2 linked regions of the Pelodiscus sinensis genome follow. The protein of the gene in region 2 interacts with the protein of the main gene of each other region in a pairwise test. Links are inferred from orthologs where the notes say so. Each region holds a gene or a part of one and is shown on either strand. Other genes may lie near its edges. The genes, in order: CREM and FHL5.

The links.
Region 1: the proteins of FHL5 (region 2) and CREM interact in a two-hybrid assay, tested with the Homo sapiens proteins (2 studies listed by BioGRID). The link is inferred for Pelodiscus sinensis from reciprocal best matches to the Homo sapiens genes FHL5 and CREM.

Annotation. Positions count from the first base shown.
Region 1 is NC_134712.1:232,001,431-232,009,980, forward strand, and holds the start of CREM (cAMP-responsive element modulator), read left to right. Parts: upstream 1-4,893; 5' UTR 4,894-5,113; coding exon 5,114-5,157; intron 5,158-6,779; coding exon 6,780-6,903; intron 6,904-8,550.
Region 2 is NC_134713.1:68,353,119-68,361,548, reverse strand, and holds the start of FHL5 (four and a half LIM domains protein 5), read right to left. Parts: upstream 3,787-8,430; 5' UTR 3,304-3,786; coding exon 3,218-3,303; intron 3-3,217; coding exon 1-2. UniProt on the Homo sapiens protein: May be involved in the regulation of spermatogenesis. Stimulates CREM transcriptional activity in a phosphorylation-independent manner.

The sequences.
Region 1 (8,550 bases), on a different chromosome or scaffold from region 2:
TAGAGCCCTGTATTTCCTATGCCTCTCTCTCCTTCCCAGCACTTTTGGAGCTCGAACAACTGCAAACACCTGATTTGTTGCATTCCACCTGTTCTGGGAGGAAAAGAGAGGAGGGGGGATGGAGCATGAATGAGATGATTCACATGCTCCAAAAGTGCTGTGGGGGTGCCCAGTACGTGAGAAGTGTGTGGGGAGGGGCACAGAGAAGGAGCAGCAAGTGGAACCCCACTGGGCTGGGAGTTGTTGTGGCCCTCTTAGGTGAATGAGGGACACTCATGAGGTCTATATACTTCCTGCCAGCCCCATGATTTTTTCCTCACGACCTCCAGGGGGGAAAAAACACATAAATTTATCTTACTATAAATGACAATATATTTTTCAATCATAATTGAGAGAGGTGCAGCCATGTAATTATATGTTCATTTTAAGATAAAAATCCCATCTAATTAGTATCAGTGTATTTCTACATAAGTGTTGAAAAATAGTAACCAACCCTGTTGAAAAAAATTAACCCTATTAATATTTAATGTCAAAGTAACTCGCATGATGTGTAGCTAATTTGTAATTAAATTAGCTTAAAATAAAATAAAGCTTTGTGCAATGTTTCAGTTTAGGATTAAATCCATACATAAGGCTTATAAAATTACAATGATTTGAAAGCTCAAGTCTTCCTACAAACAAACGAACAAACTATTCCTGATTTTTCAACATAACACGATCTCTGTCATTAAAAAGAGCTACGATCATTGCTGTATATACGAAGCTGAAACTTAAATTTAATTATTCATGGATCATATAAGGCTTCCTTACAAATCTCTTTGGATGAAATATGGGGTGTAAGATGTTTTATTTTTATTACCATAGCACCTAGGAGCCCTAGCCATGGACTAGAAAAAGAGGTGCTTGAACTATTCCATTTTAATGGTGTTGCCAAAGTTGTTGTTGACTGGGAGTCCCAGTAAGTCTGAAGCCCAAGCCACATTCCACGGGGGTGAATCCTTACTACCTTGGGTTAAGATTACATGATCCCCACTCAGGGCAAATACCCTTGGACTTCAGCTTTGGCCCTGCTGCCCCACTGTAGCTGGGGTTCAGGCGGACTGTGTCTTCAGTTCCCCCTCCCTAGGTCATGTCATCTTTGTTGTCAGAAGGAGGTTGTGGTGCTGTGAGGTCTGAAAATCCACTGCACTAGAACCCCCGTGTTCTTTGTGCTACACAAGTGCAGAAAATGATGGCTCCTGCCCCAAAGAGCTTATCATGTATGTATATCCTTGTTTTGAAATTTAGGAGCAATGGATCTGTCAATACATTTCCATTGACATCAGTGTTTTGCCTCTAATCAAAACCGCTTAAGTTATAGGAAGAAAATGTCATCCATTTCAGTAGTCTCTAGTCTGAATTAATAACAGTTTGTTTCATGGTGCTTGCTATTGTGAACATTAACAGTTTTTTGGAAAAACCTATAGCTATTTTCAGATATGCCAACCAAAATAGGTCATTTGTCTTGTACTTTATATTATGCGGCTTTATACTGCACCTTTTTTTTAGTCAGGCTTCTTGTATAAGTTTATGCCAAGGGAACTAGCACACCTAAAATGACTACTTACCTTTTTTAAGCATTTGCTTTTTATAGGCCCAATATTTAGGTTTCATTTGACTGTCTCCAGACTTGGAAAAGGCAATTTCTATTCTCAGTTTAGCATTTTTGTTTCAATAAGTGCATGTTTTCATATGCTGTTGACATTTCAATTCATTTTCACTTGAAAATAATAACAATAATGGTTTGGTCCCAAGTAATGTTAGGAGAAGAATGATATTAACAAAACTCAGGAATACCACTAAAAGGACAATATAAAAAATTCAGTATGTTCATCTGTATCTCTGGAGTATGCCTTTGAATAGCTTCCCACACTTGGAAGTGGTGTTCTGCATTTAAGATTTACATTGTAATTTCCCATGAGTTTTACCTAAAATTTAGAGCATAATAAAAATACACTGTTCTTTGTCATATTTTGTAAAGCTGCAGATATCCTGGAAATAATTTCTTAATCATTTAGTTGTCCTCGCTCTTTACATAAGTTCAGTGCATACTTTTGAATGGAAATTGGTTATTACGAGTTTAACTTTCCATGCTATATGAAAGATTTGAAAGACCAGGGAGGATGATAGGGACATAAAAAAAAATTACAGCTTTTTTGTAGAAGGAGGTTCTTTCTAAGAAATAAAAGGTATTAACAAGACTACAAAAGAAGATAGGCATTTTCCTGTAACACTTCATTGCTTTTGTTTCAGTGATCCTTAAAACAACACACAGTGACATGTAGCAGCTAATGGAGTCTGTCTTTTCACCAAAGAGAAAAGTACTACATTTCTAACAGATGTATGTGTCCAGATTTAAAATAAATCATTCCCAAAGCAATAAAGTAGTAAAATTGGAAACGTCAGTTTCCACAGCATAATAGATCATCCCTGCCAAGAGAAGTCAATGGAACCTTTTTAGTAGGATGGGATAAATTTAGTAATTTTGAACTAAATCTTCTCTTAGAATGACAGACAATATTGGATATAAAATATGAAGTATGATTTTGGACCCACATAAGGAAAAATAATCTGGATCCTATTTTTTAATTCCAGAAGAAAGTTTTAGTGACTATGTTGGTAATGCATACTGATTACATTATTGAGCTTGTTATTTAAGCTGTCTTGATATATGGGGATGTCCTTTTGGATGTACATATTAAATAGCTAGTGTCTTCATAACTGAGTCTCAAGGGTAGTGGTGGGCAACCTGCGGCCTGCCGGGGCTCCACCTGCAACTCACTAACCCCTTTGCTGACCCACCTCCCTCATGTGCCTCTTGCACACTGGGGCACCAAAGTCTTGCAATTCCTACATCTTTCCTCTCCCTTTAAGCGCTTTCAGAGGAGCTGCAAAGTGCCAGATTCGTGCTCTCCCCCCCTCCCCCCCAGAGCTGGAATGCTGCAAATCAATTGGTCATGGCATTCCAGCTCTGGGTGAGAGGGTGAGGCCTGGGGACTGAGGATGAACCAGGCAATTTGCATGCTCTGAAATGCTGGGAGGGGAAATAGCAAGTAAGAGTAGGGCTCTAGTGCCCTAATATGCAAGAGACGCATGGGGAAGAGAGCAGACAGAGAAGCCGTGGGGCATAGGTAGTCTGAGGGCTGCTACGGCCCATTGAGGTGAAGGAGGGCAACTCATGCAGCCTCCCCACTATTCGTGGTTGCCTATCCCCGCTCTAGGGTCATAGTGACATTTTTGGGATAAAGGCAGCCATCTAGCAAGAAATAGTCTATTACTATATCAAGTATGTTCATAAAAAGTACAGTGATTCAGCAACATATGCTTCTCACTTACATGTGCTGCAAGGAGGAGTGGCTGGATACAGTAGGAGATCTTCAGAATAGCCTCTGAGTAAATCCAGAATTGCCCCCATTTAAAGTTATGCACTCTCCTCTGATTAAGATCCTGGTACATATTGAGCACCAGTGCTAATAGCCTGAGATTTTGACAGCACAATTATTTTATCATTGTATCTGGGGAAAGGAACTCATGAGAAGAAACAGGAATGCAAGAGGGGTGTATATTAAATATTGTATATTATGGATTGAATTTAAAACTGCTGTTAATATACTAAATAATTCTTTTCTAATAAGCTACATGAGAGAGACTACTTTAGTACATTCTTCATGGTGTGTATATTGACACCATTTGGGAACAAGCTAACTTAAGAGGAGCTTTACTTTAAAAGTGTATGAATGCTAGCACTCTGATCAATTTGACTAAGGCTGTGAGTCACTCAAGACCTAGTTACTAAGAGACATACAGGCAGTCCCCAGGTTACGTACAAGATAGGGACTGTAGGTTTGTTCTTAAGTTGAATCTGTATGTAAGTCGGAACTGGTGTCCAGATTCAGCTGCTGCTGAAACTGATCACTTTCAGCAGCGGCTGAATCTGGACGCCAGTTCTGACTTACATACAGATTCAACTTAAGAACCCCAGGCGTCCCCAAGTCAGCTGCTGCTGAAACTGATCAGCGGCTGATTCCAGGAAGCCGGAGGCAGAGCAACTCTGCCTCGGGTTTCCTGTAGTCAGCTGCTGGTCAGTTTCAGCAGCAGCTGACTTGGGGACGCCTGGGGCAGAGCAGCTGCGCCCCCCCCCCCCAGCAGACCAGGGAGACGCGGACCAAAGCTGCGGAAGACGCCTGCAGCGGGACAGCCCAGGCGCACCGCGGCTGTCCCGCTACGGGCGGCCTCCGAGGCTTTGCTCCCCGTCTCCCTGGTCTGACCAGCAGACCAGGGAGACGGGGAGCAGCTTTTCTCGCCCCGGAGGACGCGGGCGGCGGGACCGCGGCTCATCTGGGCGTCCCGCCACTCCCGTCCTCTGGGGCAAAAAAACCCCGTTTGTAACTGCGGATCCGACATAAGTCGGATCCGTGTAACTCAGGGACTGCCTGTACTACAACTTGAGATCAGCAGAAGAGTTTGAGAGGAAAGGAAGCTGGGCTTTTTTGTATATCCATTCAAGATGGTATCCTTAGAGATGTGAAAATTATCTGTAATTGTGCTTCTCTGATTATATCCTTTCATTTGATTCCTTCTCAGTGGAAGACAAACATTTTGACAACTTATTTTGGACATAAATGTGTAGTGTTTAAGGAGCTATTTGCTTCTCACTTGAAACAATGTCTCAGAGAGCACTGAGATACCAGGAGTTGGCTTGTGTATTAAAAATAGATATGGATACTTCAGAAGCTTCAAAACCATTGAAATAGGGTGTTCCTGCCCAAGAATAGGAATCGGATCAGATTATATTTTCAGAAAATTTAGAACGAATCTCCTTTCTTTGGTGTTTTCCCTGTATTTTCTATAATATTTGGTATTAACATATGCCAAACAAGATTTCTCTGTTAGTGTCCCACTTATCTTAGATCCTGCAGTGAAGGCTGTATACAGTTTGTGACATTGGTTTGTTGCTATGGTGATGATTATGACATCACAACTTCAACATCATAACTTCACTGCAGTGTTAAGCAGGAGAGAAAGTAAGCTGAGGAAAACAAAGCTCTTGTTTTAAACACTTCCACTTTTCATTATGAGCAAGTATGTCAAGAAATATAATGGGAAAACAACTGTAAGGTAATTGTGCTTTTGTGTAGCTGATATATTTGAATATAATCTCCCCTAACATAATCTTTCAGTTTATATGTTTCAATTGATGGATGTAACTTACCCAAATTTAGGTTTAAGATTTAAAGGATATAAAATGGTTTTGAAATATCATAAGAGAGTTGCTGATACCAATTTAAAAATCTATTATTAAACATCTGTCATTTGGTTCAAAACAAAATCTATTCAGTCTTCCGAATATGAGAACTTCCTGTTTGGAGTTATTCTAACAAAAGAAACAAGAATATAACCAAAATTATTTTTTGTCTAAAGTAGGATATTTCTATTTAGAGGGACAGAACAGTAGGATTTATGTACATACTTCTATCAGCATTCTTCAGATGTATCAATATTTTAAATTTCATATTCTGGTATCTCTCTCCAGTGGGCAATTTATGCAGATAAGAATGAAGGAAAATTATATTTTCATTACAAAACAAAACAAAACAAGAACAATCTAGATGTAGTGATGCAGAACAAATATTAACTTGTTAGGTATAATCTTGTGGTTCTGATTTTGTCCATTTCAGGGTACATAGTATCATGACTGTCTAACTAAACAGAATAAATAAAAGATGAAAAATTCTAATAAATTCTTCCTAGATACCAAGTTATCACTTCCACTTGTACTATACTGAGTCAATGCACTACCACTCCTTTAAAGAATTCTCTGAATAGTTGCCAGATATTTCTCCCTTGGGGTTCCTCAGAATGGTTTCCTTGTTTTTCCCAGTTAAAACAAGGGGAAACTTAGGATGATAATTTAATGTTCCTTCCATGCCTCTACTCCCAATACGGAAGGGGTGAATAGGTTTTTTTTCTGGAATCAGCAGTGCTAGACACAACGTTGGCTACGTCTACACTGGCCCCTAAAAACGGAAAAGGGATGCAAAGCAGGTAAGTCAGCATAGGGAAATCCGCGGGGGATTTAAATATCCCCTGCGGATTTAAATCAACATGTCCGCCGCTTTTTTTCCGGCTTGGGGAAAAGCCGGAAAAAAAGCGTCTAGACTGGCGCGATCCTCTGGAATAAAGCCCTTTTCCGGAGGATCTCTTATTCCTACCTGAAAGTAGGAATAAGAGATCCTCCGGAAAAGGGCTTTATTCCAGAGGATCGTGCCAGTCTAGATGTTTTTTTTCTGGCTTTTCCCCAAGCCGGAAAAAAAGCGGCGGACATGTTTATTTAAATCCGCGGGGGATATTTAAATCCCCCGCGGATTTCCCTATGCTGACTTACCTGATTTGCATCCCTTTTCCGCAATTTGTGGCCAGTCTAGACGTAGCCATCAGGTTGCTAAAGAATGAGGTTTTGCTTTCCTTATTCAGTGCTGGGAGTATTACCTACACATGCTCCATCTAGTCCTGACTAACCAAAGGAGTAAGCTTGATACCTAATTTACTAGTCTTGCACAGCAACATTTTTTGATGTTAGGGTACTGTTGTGTTGTTCTTTTGTCAATTTCACCAATTTCATCTAGGAAAATGAGGTGAATTTGGGAGTTGAGGAGAAAAATAATTTAACAGAGTTGAAATTTAAATATTCCTACTTCAGGTCTGAATTCATTTCCTTGCAATATATTATTTATTTTTAGACAAATGACCATGGAAATGGTTGAATCGCAACAGGATGGAAGTGCAACAGATTCTGTGGCAGAGAGCGATGCTGTTTGCATACAAAATCAACCAGGCCAAAGTCAGATTCCCCCCATAGCTCAGGTAATTTGACTTACAAGAAGCTGAGAAAAACAAATAAAATGATCATTTAGAATTGTAATTTGCATTTAGATCAGGGGTGGGGAACCCTTTTTGGGTTGGGGGCCTCTACCCACAGAAAAATCAATTGAGGGCCCAGAGGCTGTGGGGAGGCAGCAGGGGGGCTGGAGTGCCAGCACAGGCTCCCCAGTGCTGGAGGAGGCCCTACGCCTTGGGGGCCAGATCTAGGTAACCCAGGGGCCAGATACATCCTCTGGGCCTTAGGTTCCCCACCCCTGATTTAGATGAACATGATACTTTTTCTGTAATTCAAAATTAAATCCCCCTGTCCTGTATCAGGAATTTATTATTAAAGCAGCAATTTCATATTTAAAACAATAAAGGTATAGTCCCAAATGATTACTACTATGTTATGGACATGACAGCATATGGGCCACAGATATTAAAGCACATTATTTTAAGTCATCCTCAGAAGTAACACTTCAAGAGTTTCTCAGGATGGTTCTGCAGTGTTAGCCAGTAGATGGTTCTTCCATGTTCTTCGAAGTACTGCTATATAATAATAGTCTGATAATGGTGTCCTGTTAAGTTGAGGCATCTACAAGATTAGAGGAATCTCATGTGTTCTAAAAACTGCAGATGCTTAATGCAGCAACTTATGAATAGATGAAGATATTTTGTTCCCCTCCTCCTCCAGTACTCTTGTTTACTCAAAATGAGTCCAATCTTGCAGGTAAAACTTCTTAGAGTTGTTACTTGTGTTTCTGCCTTATGGACTTGATGACACTTCCTGTATTTTTTAAAAGAAATTTTAGATATTCTCTAGAAAAGTATTTTTCTGGTTAATAGAATGGAGATGACAAAATGTAAAACTTAGTTTGCTATATTGTGTGATCTCCATAAAGCCTTAAGATTTTAAAGAATGTATTCATCTATACTAAAAAGAAAATGCTACTAATATTTCAATATATTATACTGGCCAATAATTATATCTAAATTCTTTGAATACTTTACTACCTATAATACTTCACTGCCCTTCAACTTCACAAGCCTTGGGAAAGAGGCTAATCCTTGCCTATAGTCAGTCTCCTCAATTTGAAGCAAATCTTTTCTGGGAGATACACATCACACCTCACATACACTCACCCAATTACCTACCCCTGCAATAAATCCCGTTGTCAACTCTGTCCACATATCTACACAAGCGAGACCAACACAGGATCAAACCACATAAGCCACATCATCAGAGGCTCATTCAACTGCACATCCTCTAATGTGATATATATCATCAAGTGCCAGCAATGTTCTTTTGTCATGTATATTGGTTAAACCAGAGAAAGGATAAATGGACACAAATCAGACATCAGAAATGGTAACACAGGTAGGGGAACATTCTTTGAGAAATGTCCCCTGTGGGTGCTCCACAATAGGTGTCAGTATGCTACTGCATACTGAGTCTTTTAGATGAGTGTTCTGAGGCTGCGCATGCACATTACCCGAGTCATGTGTGTTCAGTGCACTGACACTGTGCTTGTGCAGCCTCCTCCCTCCAGTTCCTTCTTGCTGTCTGGTCATAGATAGAGCTTTGCAGTGTTCCTCAGCAATCTATCTTCATTAGAGTTTTTACAGTTAGACAAGTAGTTCTTTTCT
Region 2 (8,430 bases):
TCCTAGATCATTAGAAATATTGGTTGTCCATATATAGATGGTGGGGAAAAGAGGAAAATGAACATTAATCATCTGAAAAAAAATCTGGAAGTTGTTCGTAGTCATAGAATGGCATGCAAAGTTCCAGCAAGGAGTTCTGTTTGTTTTTAACTACTGCTTCATGTTTCTCTCTCTATTGTGATTATATACCACCATTACGATGGTATCTCAGTATTTCAGAATTTATGACGAATTTATCCTCACAACACTCCTGAGTCATTATCCCCATTTTATAGATGGGGAACTGAGGCACAGAAAAGCTAACATGCCCAGAGGCACATAGGAAGTCTGTGATAGAATATGGCATTGAACCTGTCTCCAAAATCCAAAGCCATGGCCCTACCTTTGCCATGTCCTTTGTCTTAGTTTCATTCTCTGACAGAAAAAAAGGTCATAGGTATTGGGGGTGGGGGAAGAAAGGCACATTGTGCCACTACAGAAGTAGTCATGGAAGAGGGAACAAGATTGAAGGCTAGCACTGAGCCAAGGGAGCTTCCTCAGAAGCAAGGTCCCATACCTGATGGAACGAAGAGATCTTATTAATACTTTGATGAATGTAAAACAAATCAGATTTACCCAAAACAAATTAAAACAGTAAAAATGCAACCATCGGTGATGGTGAAGTACCCTCACGTTGTGAGAGTAAATAAAAAGTTACAAATACCATTTCAGTAGTAACTAGTAAGTTGTGTAAAGGGTTATAACCCCTTGGACAGCACTTATGTATTTCAGAAGCCCTATTAAAATTACCAGTTCTAGAATTTTAGCTGGGATGGTAACTAAGAAGGAACACTGAAATGATGAAGAATCCAACAAGGGAAAACTAAAAATCAGCACAACCTCAAGGGCAGAGGTTTGTGAAGGTGAGAGAGCAAGATGCAAATGGAAGGAAGCTTTTGAAGGAATAATATTAACCATAGTCAAAGAAAAGCTTTAGCTCAAAGAAAAGGAATCTGGAAACAATAAGGAGAATTGACCCACTACTTTTTTGGACCACGCTGTACTATTTCATAGAAGATTATATCCCTGCTATAGAATTCTAATGGATAGTTTATATAAGTATCCATTAAATTCTCTATATTTGTGGAATAACTTATATGCTGCCTTATTAAATTTCTGGTACGCTTTAATTAATGTTACCCCTCTCCAATTCTATACGAGTTTACAAGAAGGTAAAGTTTAAATATGTGGGCTGAGATTTGCAAAAGCCATCTAAACATTTTTGGATGCTTTCCAGTCCCTACTCCTACCCACCTCTCTCCCCTTCCCCTCCCCCCCAAAAAAATCTACTAGAGAAAGACAAGTAGAAAGTATGTTGCAATGCATCATTCCACTGTCTATGAACACAGCATTTGGAGCTTCACAGATCGCTAGACTGGAAGGGCTTTGATTCAGTGGGAGCACTACACAACCTGATCTCTCATCAAACCAGTCGGGAAATTTCTACACAAATTAAGGAGGATACTGTTCCTAAGGTTCTTGGCTCCTAACCAGGTGAAATCTGGCCATATTGAAGTCAAGGAAAGTTTTGCATTGATTTGAACAGATCTAGTATTTTACCCCTGGACTTCAGCTTTCCATTATTAGAAGAATTCTTCTGGAGAGTTTGCACTTTCCCCCTCTTTATATTCAATTAGTCAATGCTATTAGACTTCAACTTTTATGAGAAGTAAAATTCAACCATAAAAGTAAAATACAAAAAATTGAAAACACTGGCTTTATTAGCAAAAGAACAACTGTGATTAAAAGGACAACTAACTATGAACCTTACAATGTCTACCAATTAACCAATAAATAAAATCCTTAAACTTTTCTCCCTGCAAATAACCTTGAGACACCATAGGTCAAAACTGATCAGAGTCTTTTTCAAACAACTCGTTTTTTCATTATTATTTTTTTACTATTACAAGAAGATTGGTATAGCATCTTAAATTTCTGCAAATTATGCAATCTAAAATCAAAGTGCCTTTTGTGACAGTGCAATAAAATTACATGGCAAGACTGTCAGCAATGTGATAACATTAATACATAAATCTGTTCCATTCTGTTCTGTTAAAATACTTCAAGAAATGTCAACTAATCATACATACTGAAGACAAATGTGGGCATAAATGTTAGATGTGAACAAGACAAGCATCACAAAGTTATTTTCTTACTATAAGAGGTTCTATGTCAAGCTTTAGGCATGTAACTAATCTGCTGAAAATAAGAAAAAAGATACAAAATAGTGTATTTCAGAACAGGGATGTGATTACAATTTAAATTGTGTTTATCAAAGTTTGATTTTTGGGACTCATTAGTAAAAGAAAAATTGACTGAATGTACTTCATACATAAAACCAGATAGTACAACAATTAATCTATGTTGTTGACATTCTGTTACAGAAAATTTCAATGTCATTGTCCATAAAGCTTTTTAATGCAAACCGTGTAAATAGACATTTAAGTAGTGCTTTTTTTTTTAACTAAGCACTGGCACATCCTCTTAATATAGTACTTAGTACAGTAAATACAAAATCTGTAGCAGAGATCTTTTAAAAGCTGAGACTCCGACATAATAGTGGAGGAGAAAAAATGAAATAATGTTGATTGAGATTTATATCATGTGTAAACTTAGAAATCCAACAAGTTAATTTTACATTAAATAAGCAACAAGAACAATCCACTGTTTGCAGCAAAAATAACTTTAGGTATCTCATCATAAATGCCTCGTTGAAAGCTTTTGTTCTCAGTGGCAGGTAGGAAGAAAGTAGGCTAGTAGAAGAAAACAGAATTTACAGCATATTGGTTGATTCCTACTTATCTAATTTTTAAAAATTAATACATTGAAAACAGTTCATTGAAATCAGCAACAATCTTGTTTGAATATGTTCACAGAATTCTGTAGGCAATCCAAAGAAGATTCACCAAAGTATATGGCCTCAGCCAGTCTTAATGACAATGTTCTTTTTAGTCTATGTCACAAATTCCATCAATTATATAAACTAATTCTATTAAAACACTACTAGAAACAAACAAACAAAAATCAGAATTAATCAGTGACCGAAAAGAAAAAGTTCTTGCTTAATTCACAAACTTTCAATTGATTACCAGGTCAACTGACCTAAATATTTTAAAACGTATCAACTAAAAGAGCGGAAAGAGAAATAATAAGGAAAAGCAGTTTCTATAATACTCACAACTGGTTCAAGCTGCTTCTTCTTCTGACTTGTGTAGCAAAATAAAGGGGGAAAATAATTAGATTAGCTTTCACAGAAATAAGCATTCATCAAGTCCAAAAGAAACAGAATACTCTGCCAGAGCTATTTGAGGGTCCTATCAAATTTTGGCTGTGTAGAAGACGGCTGAGGGACAGTTTATTTCCCTTAGACCTCATGACATGCAAATAGCTGGTTCCCTTGTCACTGGATTGAAATCATTCTTTGTCATATTGTGTTTACAGATGGTAGACAAAAACAGACCACAGAGGAGATCCTTAAAAGAGCATTTTTCAAGGACAATGTTTCAAAGACCTAGAAAGAGGCGCTTTAGTAAAAAAATCTATAGTGGAAGGCGGGGAAGGGAATGAACATATTAATCTCCAGCTTTTTTGTGCACAGATTCTTTGAAAACATTCAAGATACTCGATAAAACTCAAAATTAACATTAAAACTCCTGCTTACAGTTTTTGGGGTACAGGCAGTCCCCGACTTACGCGGATCTGACTTACGTCGGATCCGCACTTACAAACAGGGCTTTCTCGCCCCGGAGGTCGGGGCGAGAAAGCCCCGTTCGTAAGCTGCTCCGGTGCCCCTGGTCTGCTGGAGACCGTCTCCAGCAGACCAGGGGCACCGGGCGGGTTCCCGCGCTTCTGAGGCTTTGCCAGAGCAAAGCCTCAGAGGCGCGGGGAACCGCCGCTGCTGCCGCTTCAGTCTGGGTGCCTGTGGTCTGCTGGGGACCATCCCCAGCAGACCACAGGCACCCAGACTGAAGCGGCAGCAGCGGCGGTTCCCCGCGCCTCTGAGGCTTTACTCTGGCAAAGCCTCAGAAGCGCGGGACCCCCCCGCGGCTGCGGCTTCAGTCCGGGAGCCTGTGGTCTGCTGGGGACCGTCCCCAGCAGACCACAGGCACCGGGACTGAAGTCGTAGCCGCGGCGGGGTCCCTCGCCTCTGAGGCTTTGCGAGAGCCGCTGCCGCTGCGGCTCTGCTCCCTGTGTCCCTGGTCTGCTGGGGGGGGGGGAGGGGCGCAGCTAGTGTGCTTCCCCCCCCTCCCAGCAGACCAGGCTTTTGTTTTGGACTCTGGGGCAGAGCAGCTGGGGCGCTGCCAATTGGTCCTGCAGCGCCCGCTCTGGGCACTACTGGACCAACCCGGCAGCACCCCAGCTGATCTGCCCCAGGCGTCCCCAAGTCAGCTTCTGCTGAAACTGACCAGCGCTGACTACAGGAAGCCCCAGGCAGAGTTGCTCTGCCCCGGGCTTCCTGGAATCAGCTGCTGATCAGTTTCAGCAGCAGCTGACTTGGGGACGCCTGGGGTTCTTAAGTTGATTCTGTATGCAAGTCAGAACTGGCGGTCAGTTTCAGCAGTGTCTGAATCTGGACGCCAGTTCCGACTTACATACAGATTCTACTTAAGAACAAACCTACAGTCCCTATCTTGTACGTAACCCGGGGACTGCCTGTATTCTGCATAGGTTTTGTGGGTAGGGGTGGAAGGGAGACATTAAAATACCACACCCTTCCAATTTAGGAAAGGGCTATGGGATTTAATATTACATCACAGCTTCCTGCTAGTTATTTATACAGTGGGATGGTTGATGCCTTCAATGCAGTTTTCTGGTGATTAGATTCATATCAGTGGAAAGTGAATGGCTTTTCTCTGGACCTCTCTTAATGCTCATCTCAGGGCTGGCCGCATTAGACTTGGAGCAGAGGTAACCACACCAGTGTTTGGGCTAAGGTTACACTATCCACCACTCCCACTACAGAACAGTTCATTCACTGCACTGTTGTACCAGCCTTCAGTGAATTTTTTATATCCAGTTAAAATTAAGCAGCTGAAATTAAGCAGCTTAAAACAGGATTGTTGGTTGTGGCTTGAGACATTGCAGACCCTAGACCATGCTTTCCACCATTATATTCCCTAGATTACACTATGATGAACCAATTTATCTCTGGGCTTAATCAAGCCTTGCATGTCAAGTGTACAGAAGAGCTGTTTATTATTATGTCATTGCCAAGAAATAGAATTCTGTTTCTCTCTTTCGATAAATCTTACATTGAAAGATTTTGGTAAAATTTGCAAATACCAGGAAATAAAGTTTCTAGGTGGTAGATCTTCAATAGGACCCTGGGCCGTGAGTGACTGTACAAGGCTGTCTACTGACAGGATGCTTGGATGTAACTTGACTCAAAGTAGTGGCCTGGTTAAAGCCCATACCACATGAACTAGCCTTCTTCGTGATAAGCACACCAAATTACACAAATAGTATGTTCTTTTCAGGAAAGAGTATGAAATATATGTTCATTTTCCATTGAACATCGCATTTTCCAAACTTCAATTCATGTTTTTTTTCTTCTCAGAAGAAACTTGCAGAATGGAGACTATACCTGTATAACTTACTAGAGAGTTGTCTTTTTAAGCATTTAAAGCAAAGTGAAAACCTTCACAAATAAGGAGCATGAAGTGAAATTAATTAGTGGATAATGTGAAAACTAAGTGCCCTTTTCTCTAAACCCAAACGAGGTGCTATAACACATAGCCCTTCTTAATAAACTATTTGACCAACCTGGTAACAAAACCACCCTGATTTGACCTAAACTTCCACTTCTACCCTCACTGATATTAGCATGGTATTTGCCATTAACATGAGCCTCTCAAAGAGCTCTTTCCCCTTTATTTTTGTTTAAGATTCACTCAAATGTATCTTTCTAAGCAAGGTTTCTATCTCTGACAATTCAGAAAAATAATTTAAAATCCATTTCACTACTACATTGATCTTCAACCTATTTTAATGTATTCTTATACTTTAAAAAATGAGTAGCTATTTAAAATATCAGAAAGCATTCTGATCCCACAATAAAGCATTTCAATAATCCAGAAGCTTCAGATGATCATTACTTTTATGTTCCAATTATAACCATGCTCTCCATCACAGTAGTAAATGTCTCTCAAAAAGGCTACAAAAGTCTTAAGGTAAAAAACATGAAGCCATTTAAATCATTAATCGAAAGGTATACAGAAAGCTTTAGCAGAAGTTCTAAATATCAGAAACTCAGGACAAGCTCTGTTAGATTACATCAGCAATCTTTGACTGCTCTCATGCAAGTCATTTAATTTTGAGTACAATTACAACAGTTTTTAAATGTCATCACTTCTTGAAGTTTAATCTCAAGAGTTTCTCAGATTAATTACTCCTCTCCCCCGTTTTTCAAGTGTCTTTGGAAGAGACTTCATACAAGAAATTTTATGAAGCATGTATTTTTAGTGAGTGGAACAAGGGGGCAATTTGTCCATGATATTGCTCTTTTTAAAAATGTAATTTAAATTAAGCTACACTGTAAATTTATCTGAAAAAGAAATAGGCAGCTTTGTCAACTAAACAGCTGATAATTAAAATAAGAATCCTAAGAATAGTAATGAATCCTTTCCTTTTTTTTCCAGTCGCTACGTGAATCATATACAGGAAAAAAATCATTAGCACAGTGTTTGGGGGAAAATATTTTATTTATTCCTCTCTCTTGTAATTAAAGACACCTTTATCTAGGAATGTTAACCTCTACACTTGATAGACAGATATTCAATACTTATTTTTTCTGGCATGGAAACACCAATGAAGGTTTCTCATAATTAACCACTGAAAATTCTATGAAGAGACCACTACCGAAACATTAGTACTTCTTTCCTATCCATTTTAAAGAATGTTCTTTTTATTATTCTCATCATGTGGCCTATATTTGTAACAAAAATCTGTTGCATTACATAGAAGACTTGTATTAATTCATTATTATGTATTACAACAGTTTTAAGCAAAAAAGAGGACACAAAATTGGCAAGTATAACAAATTAAATGGAGCACATTAACAACTGTAGTTTGCAAGCAACAAGTGCAAGTCCAATCGACATATCTATGGTTAAGTCAACAGCAGAAACTATTTTAACCACTTAAATCATTAATTTTATTAAAATAATTATATTTACATAAAGAATATCAAATTGTAGAGTATTATTTACAAAATCAATGCCATATAAAAGTGTGTACATTTAATATAGGAAAATTATAACTATTTTCATTCAATAACAAGAGAATAAATATACTTATTTTATGCAAACCATTTTTGTAAACAAAGTGAAAGCAGTCAGAATATTTTCTTTTTTGCTATTTCCAGGTGACAGGCTTATATGGAGGCTTCCAACTAGGATGATGGACAAAACTGTCTCTGCCTCTAAATCCAAAGGGCAGAGATGGAGTTGCTCCTTTGTATTACAGTTTGGACAGAACCAATGCTATTTTGTAGAGATATTATTGACTTTAGTACAGTAATCTAGTAATTTTTTATAAGCGATTCTGTTTTTTTAAACTGCATTCTAAAATAAGCCTAAATGCAGGAACACAAAAGTCTCAAGTCACCTTTCTTTTGTTGCAATCAAAGTTTTGGGGACATTTTTGGTTGATTTCTACCCAATGCACAATTCTGCACACATCTTGCAGGAATTTAACAACCACTGCAACTTAACAGCATTCTTACAGAAGGTTTTGTTCAGTGCTAATAGAGTTTGGGCAAGAATGAAAGAATACTTAGAACTACTGTACTATTATTTTCACTGGATATCAATGTCTATTGCCTTACTATTAAGACCTGATTTTATGCAAGCAGCTAGGTAACAAGTATAATCACTGCATATTCCAGTGATAAGTTGAAACTGATTTGCTAAATTAAAACTGCACTAACTTCAAAACAAATTCAAAAATATACAACTGACATACACAAATTATATACTTAACTAATATTGGCAAGATTTTAGTTGGTATTCTTTACATATATTTTTTCTAAGACACACAATATACCCCATGTACAAATGAGGATACAAATTACAATGGGCATGACAAAAATATAGCTAAATAATATCAAATACCACTTGGAATAGGTTAACATCAGAAAAAAACACTATAGCAGATACTCAAAATGGTTACTATTTTCAGAATATTTTTAAAAAAACATATGGTAAAGTGAACAAAGTTCTGGACCAAACTCCCTCGAATAAAAACAGTATTTGTAATGGATATTGATATACCCCTTGTATCCATATCAGTGGATACGGATATGGATACACCCCTTAAGAAACTTCTCTAGGAGTCACATCTGAAACTGTGTGGTAGCAAATGTTTCCTAAACAATCTAACTTGTACATTAAC